Linked DNA regions of Lepisosteus oculatus. The protein of the gene in region 1 interacts with the protein of each later gene in a pairwise test. Links are inferred from orthologs where the notes say so. Each region holds a gene or a part of one and is shown on either strand. Other genes may lie near its edges.

Evidence for each region.
Region 2: the proteins of kxd1 (region 1) and MOB kinase activator 1A interact in binary tests that used the Homo sapiens proteins (3 or more experiments, as listed by UniProt). The two-hybrid records come from large-scale screens. The link is inferred for Lepisosteus oculatus from reciprocal best matches to the Homo sapiens genes KXD1 and MOB1A.

Annotation. Positions count from the first base shown.
Region 1 is NC_090702.1:56,035,088-56,038,840, forward strand, and holds the start of kxd1 (kxDL motif-containing protein 1), read right to left. Parts: upstream 2,192-3,753; 5' UTR 2,108-2,191; intron 788-2,107; 5' UTR 756-787; coding exon 661-755; intron 1-660. Other genes in the region: ovch1 (ovochymase-1), read right to left, coding at 3,384-3,548.
Region 2 is NC_090697.1:68,319,580-68,323,332, reverse strand, and holds the start of MOB kinase activator 1A, read left to right. Parts: upstream 1-1,156; 5' UTR 1,157-1,391; coding exon 1,392-1,405; intron 1,406-3,542; coding exon 3,543-3,709; intron 3,710-3,753. UniProt on the Homo sapiens protein: Activator of LATS1/2 in the Hippo signaling pathway which plays a pivotal role in organ size control and tumor suppression by restricting proliferation and promoting apoptosis.

The DNA of each region.
Region 1 (3,753 bases):
TTTAAAGAACAAAAAACAGCAATATAAAACTAAAAAAATTAAATCTAGAATGAAGCCAACATCTTTCCTATATATTATTTGTTTTTTCAATGTAACTGGCTTCATCACTCTGCTCTCCTCCCCACTGAGAGCTGGTGTGTGGGGAGTGTACTGGTGCACTCTGCTCTCCTCCCCACTGAGAGCTGGTGTGTGGGGAGCGTACTGGTGCACTCTGCTCTCCTCCCCACTGAGAGCTGGTGTGTGGGGAGTGTACTGGTGCACTATGGATGCTGTCGCATCATCCAGGTGGGGCTGCACACTGGTGGTGGTGGAGGGGATCCCCATTACCTGTAAAGAGCTTTGAGTGGAGCATCCAGTGGAGCTATTATTACTGAAACCTGCGCCCAGAATCCTGCCCAGAGGATTCTCTAGCTCATGTTGATGCGTGTTGTTTGTTTGTGCGTTTTCCTGATATTGTCTGCTGCCGTAAAACAAATTGCCACCTCGGGGACAATCGAGAAACTCTCTCTCTCTTATTTATGTATGTAACAGATGTGTTTCCTTCAAAAAAATAATTCCTGTGTTATACAACACAGATATATCTGCATGTCATCTGACAAAACGTTTTTTTTATTCTCAGAATTACAGTGCAGTTAGACGAGAGCCACGCATCGTACTCACATGTGCCTCTGCGCCTGGATGATGGCGTTCACATCCTCAGAATTGACCATGCTGAGCATCCTGTCGCAGAACATGCCGGAAGCAGTCGGCTCCATGCTGAGCCTTCGAGCAAAGAACCAGCAGTGTCCTAAATGGACAAAGTAGATATAAACAAAAAGACACGCAAATTAAAAGCTGGTAAATTGAGAAATAACTATGAAATCTTTCATTCATTAATCAAACAAAACGTTAAATCAGTGTTAAAGTTATAGAATGTAAAGGGATCACAGAAATTTAAATGAAAAATGACAAGAAAGGAGGAAAAAACAGACACTACGGGCAGTCCTGAGCCTACTCGATCAAACATCAGTGACAGGAGCGTGTCAGGGGAATCGAGGTGTTGTTGTTCTACACTCGGAGCAGCACACAGCAAGGAGGAGATCCGGCTGCTGGGAGGTCCCGGCGAGAGTGAGAGCAGCAGAAATAAGACGAGCTCTGGCAAATCATGACCACACTCAAATCGCTTCTAATGTGCAGAGGACACCAATCCAGGCAGAACTGTAAATAGTGCCGTAACTGTACGAGCATCACACCAGGACGCAAAGACTACAGACCGGGGCAGACACCTGCCGAAACAGAACTGGATAAGGGCAAGTCACAACGAACAGGAAGCAGAAACACGAATCCCAGACATCAGATGGGCAGAAGAAGCAATGAATGGGGAAGATGCAGTAGAAGGGTGCAGGAGGTCCTTCCTGGTTTCTACAGCTGGGGCCTCGTTCGAAGCCGCATGTGCACTGAGCAGCTGCCGCGGTCTTCACTGAAGAGATTTACTTGGAAACACGGGCATCGAGTGCACAGCACCCCTGCAGCCTGGAGTCAACGTCACACGGCGACTCAAACAGCCACGTACTGTACCTCCCCAGCACCAGATAAAACGCATATACTACCATGCACGCTCAGAAGCGCCACCGGCTGTCGGTAAAGCCAGTGCATCGCAAGACTGGAAAACGACACGCGTGCAATTTGTTTACTGGTGTCAAGCCTAACTGTTCAGGAAGCGAATTTTAAAACACCTCACACACTTTTTTTTTTTTTTTGAGACCGATTCGGCATTCCGAAGACGAAACGAGCAAGTGTCGATTCCGTATGAACCACTTCTGGACGGTTCCACAGTTCATTTTTTTTTAAGTCCGCATCTTCAAAAGGCTCAGCCGACCTCCTGTTATTTGACAAGTGACGCGTATTTGAACCGGGGCTGCCAGCCTCCCCAATGCGCATCGTATCGCTCAAACTCGCACTGTCACTCGTTCAAGAAATGAAGAAGAGGAGAATGGGCATGATGCAGCTCTCGGATCCTAGACTTGTCTACTGAATGTTAGGAGTAACGCTCGGAGTTTGACATGATCTGGTATGGAAGACGCGAAATAAGCGGCATCTCTTCGTTTTGCTACATCTGTAAACTCACGCCTGCTTCGCCAAGGGTTGCCGTGGGTGTAATCCTGGTTAATGTTTACTTCCACAGCCTCATTTAGTTGTAGTAAATAAACGTCTCCAGCCCTTCCTCGGTTGAGCACGACTGCGCTGCGCTCACTTCCGTATTGCGGAAACGCACAAGGGACTTCCTGTCCGGCGCGGAACCACGTGTGCACGCTGGCGGAAGAGGCGGATTCCCAGGCCCTGGAAGTCCTGCGTTTTTAATCTAAAACACTGCCCGTTTCGTATCAATACAGCACCGATTACTGCAGGAGGATGGAGCACGGGCGATCTTTGGCCGGTGGGGGGCGTTGTTCCTGCAGGTTTTCCAGTGAAATATTAAATAAAGCAACAATCCAGCTTGTTTCCATGCCATATGTCCTCTCACTTTCAGAATTAAGAACAGCTATAAAGAAGAAGGATACCATTCGACCAGTCTAGCTCTCTTGGTATTTAGTGGAATTCGGTTGTTAAGTGATCCAGGGTTCTCCTTCAGTTGTTTCTTCAGTATCAGCTTCAACAACATGGACAGGTCACTTGTTTCATGGTGTATTGATATGAAACTGTATTGATATGAAACTCATACTCAGAAGAAGATCATTAGATCTCTGGCTTGGGCTTTGCCTTTCGTGCATTTACAGCATGTAACAATGCCAGCTTCAGAGCCACCCAACACCAGACCACTACAGGGATGTAGTAATGCGCTGTATCCCAACAGGCTTTGCAAACCTCCTGTGGCAGGAGACTGGTTCTCCAGCTCAGCTGATTGGTTCCTGAGAGATGAGCGCGAGATGCCGAAGGGCCTCAGGCCAGGGGCTCCCACTTCCAGGGCTGGAGTGCCACACAGTTGCCGGCCTTCCTTCCCACTGAGCTTCGTCACTGAGCTGGACTGAGAAGTTGCTTGATTGAAATATTTGCAGGATTTGTTTTATAGTCTGAGTATGTTATGTATGAAATGCAATAATAAAAGGCAGCCTCCAGCATGTTTAAAAAGAACAATCTTTTGAATTGATAATATCAAGTCAATTAAGGGTTCAGTTATGCATCTAAGCAGCCGCGTGGTCCTTCAAGACCGGGACGGAGACCCCTGGCTTGGCTTGACCCCTGGATTATCATATCAATCACCAATCGATCGTATCATTTGTCAACCAGAAAACTACCTCCTAATCATGTGAAGAATGATCCGAGTCAACAACAACAGCAAGAATTCATAGCCAGTGAATCGAGCATCTTGGTTAAGACTTTATTTCAGACGTGCTGCTCAGTATTTACACCTCTCCCCACGTGACGTCTTTTATCCAGGACCTGTAGGCTGACACCCTGGTGAAGACAGCCGGCCTGTGCGCTGTGCAGGTCTTGCTGCCCCAGGTGAGCACGCCCCACAGGGAAGACACACCTTCTCTGCTGCAGACCAGCGCCCCTCCGGAGATCCCCTGGAGGGAGGGAGGACGTTTGACACAAATTCTCTTCAGTTTATTCGAGACTCTGATGGTTCACAGTCAGGCTCGGGGTTCATTCCAACTCCCTTTCAACCCACTGAAATGGGCAAAAAGTGGACCTGAAACCCCGACCTACTCAAAGTAATTCAACTTTAATTTAAGCAAGTATAGAGTATAGAAAAATCAGACTCTGTAAAAA
Region 2 (3,753 bases), on another chromosome or scaffold:
CAGCTCTTACCCTGAGGACAGGAATAACTCAGAAATGTCCTCTCCCACATGTAGGTGGAGCACTCTGTACATGGTTGATACTAACAGTCTTGTTTGAATTTCATAGGCAGCATATAGCATTCTGGCAATAAACAAGAGCATAAGAAAGATCACAAATGAGAGGAGGGCATTCATCCTGTGTTGTACAATGTGGTGAGGTATTTGCTAATTGATCCACAGATCTCATTTCCTGGAGGAAGCTGAAGTATAGGTTTAAACCACATGGCTGGGTAGCTTGTTTCATACCCCCACACTTCAGCCTTTGGGTAAAGTAGAGCCTCTTTTTTCTCAGTTTTAACTGCACTTCCACATAGGTTCTGAGGTTTCTCTGGTTCGTGTTTCGCTAATCATTTTGGAGAAGTCCACTTCGTTGACTTGGAGGATTTTTAATCTGTGCATCGGGTTCCCTTGTAGTCTTCTCTGTTCAAGACTGAAAAGATTTAGTTCTTTCTGCCGGTCAGTGACGAGCATTCTCAGATTTGTTTGAAGGATAGGTGTACCTTTACGTTCATTACTCTAATTCACCCTAACGGGCTGGAGCCTAACCCAACAGACACTGTACACAAGGAGGGAATTTCATTCATATTTTTCTCACACATCTACAGAAATGTCCTGGTTTTAATTCTTTGCAAAAACTGTAAACAATATAGATTCACATTAGAATAGTTTTATTATTTTTCTACAATTTGATGTCTCATCAAATACTTTGAAATCACTTGGCAAAGCACACTCCAGCAGATCTCATAGGTCACATTGAAATCAGCTTTCTGTAAAGGCCTGGAACGCATGCGAGGTTTGATCAATGAAGCACATGAATAGGTCCAATTAGGTCAGGAATGGTCAGCCACAGTGCTTGAGAGCTACAGGGTTTTGCTCTTTTCATTTCAAACGATCTCTAAACTACTTGATCCAAGCACTTAGAAACTAATGACATAAGGGTGACCCATATAAACTGTCGGATTGTGGCTCCGCCGCATGGACATGTACAGTACTCCGACTTGTGTTTTTGAGAATCAGTTAATACTGTACAGTACTTTAGCGCTAATTATCCAGAAGGGGGCAGCAGATGCGTGTTATTTGGCACAGTTCTGCACATCTCGAGGGCCAGTCTCGCGATATCGCGGTTGTACTTGCGGTCTGATTCCCTTCAGTGCGATGAGAGTCGCAACAAGGGTCTTTCGAGTCACTTTTAAATATTTCATTTTATTTGTCTGAAGTGGAGAAAAAAAATATTACTCCCTCAGAATCCTTTGTCTCTTATATTCTTAATTGTTTCAAGTAAGCAACGACCATTTTTTTTGTTTTTCTTCGTTAGTGGGAGAGGGCACAGTTGTGATCATCCGGACTTGGAAATGAGTTTCCTCTTGTAAGTAGAATGAGAAATGTTAATCTCTTCCTGTTTTCAGTTTAAGCGTTTTTATTTTGAACTTTTGTTTCAATTCTGCTGTCTAAAAGACTTCCTTTGTTATTGCCGTAAACTCTGGCACAAATATCGATGGTTACCCACTGAAACGACGAATTATAAACTTTATTTTCACGAAGCAAGAAGTGCGGTACGAAGGTTGTACCTCTTCAGATGGCTAATGGCGTAAATAAGTTGGGGAGGTGTTTTTTCTGTTGTTAACTTAGTCTGCTGGCACACACGCAAAAGACGGCTTATATAATAACCACCACCGCTACTCCGCAAAAAAGATTTATTTCAGCTTTCTCGAAACAATGAGAAAAAAGAAAACATTTTAGCGATCAAAGCTTTTGAAGAAGCCCTTGCAAAATCCGTGATCTCAGAGATCAATTAGACGGAACTGCTGGTAATTTACCCACCTCCACGGAAAAATGAGCATGTCGTCGTAGTTAATCTTAAGAAACGACAAAAAGTAAGTAAACCGTTTGGGAGAGGGCAAGAAGTCAGTATTTATTTAATTCTGGTCAATTACATTTACCATTCTTATTAACACAAAATAAACTAAAATTATGGGAGTTCTGCGCGTAATAGTAAATTGAAACCGTATATCTAGAATTTATCATCATACATTACATTGATATGTGATCTGAGGGGTTTTATTCGATACTTGCATCGTAGTAGGTGCATCATAGGTGCGGGTGAGCATTCGAGTTAAACTTTATTTTATATAGCATCTTTAAAGGTGGCTTCACAAAGCACTTTACAGAATGAGAACAACAATAAATAAAAAGCATAAAACACAATTACAATATGCAGAGGAGACCGTGGATGGTGGTACTCTGAAAAGCAGAGGGGTGAAGAATGGAACCAGTTAAGTAAAGGCTTTTCTGAAGAAGAGGGTTTTGAGTCTGGATTTGAAGGAGTTTAGAGAAGGTGACTCTGATATCCTTGGGCAGAGAGTTCCAGAGCTTGGGGGCATAACAGGAGAAGGCCCTGTCACCCATAGAATGTAGATGGGCTTGGGGGACAGTAAGGAGGGCAGAATTCGAAGAGCGAAGGTTGCGAGGTGGGGAGTAGGGCGATAATAGTTCAGACAGGTACTGAGGTGCCAAGCCATGTAGAGCATGAGGATTTTAAAGTCCACACAGAATTTTGACAGGAAGCCAGTTCAAGGACTCCAGAATAGGAGTAATGTGATCACTTGCACTAGACCTGATCAGGATCCTGGCTGCTGAATTTTGGACATACTTCAGTTTGTTAAATAAAATCTTAAATAAAAAGATTGAAAGTAAGGTTGCAGCAGTAAATATAATTTATGTATTCAACCTCCATAACCAGGCATTTTTTGGGGGGGCTCATGCTTGTATTTTTCATTTTGGGCATGATATGACAAATATGTTTATAGAATTAGGTGATATCTGTTCGAATGATTAAGTAGAAGATGATTTTTAGGACCGAGTTAAAAAGTGGAAAATTGAGAACTTGACTATCATATGACACTTCACATCCTGCTTCTTGGTGGCCTTGAGCCAAAATGCTATTTCAGCGATAAAACATCCAGCCTTGTGATTTTGCAGAACTAGAATACAAAAGGATGAGCTTTTGAGGAAACCTGAAGTCATCGAGCGAAGTAAAGTTGAGTTTAGTCCGCAGTACTTCGTTACTTATCTATTTTTTGGAAGTCGGAGCAGCTCAGCTTGGAGCTGGTTAGAATGGTTTCCAAGTCCTTGACATCTCCTGCTAAGGTTCAAGTTAGTGGCTGCATCAGCATGCGGAGGCTGCAAAAGGAACAAGTAAAGCATTTCTCCATGCTGGAAAGAGAAGAAAAGAAACTCAATGTGTTGGCTGTGGAGCCTTCTTCGGGTGTCTTCACACTTGAAGCCTAAACGTTGTTTCTAACCCCCTATTACAGTCTACCTGATCACAGTTTTTTATAAAGACACTTCCCCATGGCTTTTCTTACACAATGGGAGAGCCATTAACGAGACATTGTGAAGGTCGCCCCGGTTGCTGTGGTGGGTGGTGAAAGTACGCTCTACGAAGTAACGACTTGACCCGAAACTTCGTTTCTGTAACGGGGTTCTCCTCTTTTCTGCAACAGCGGCAGCCGCTCCTCCAAGACCTTCAAGCCCAAGAAGAACATCCCGGAGGGCTCGCACCAGTACGAGCTGCTGAAGCATGCGGAGGCCACGCTGGGCAGCGGGAACCTGCGGCAGGCCGTCATGCTGCCCGAGGGCGAGGACCTCAACGAGTGGATCGCCGTCAACAGTCAGTACCTCGGAGCGCGAGGCCACTTAGAAACGAGAGGTCTA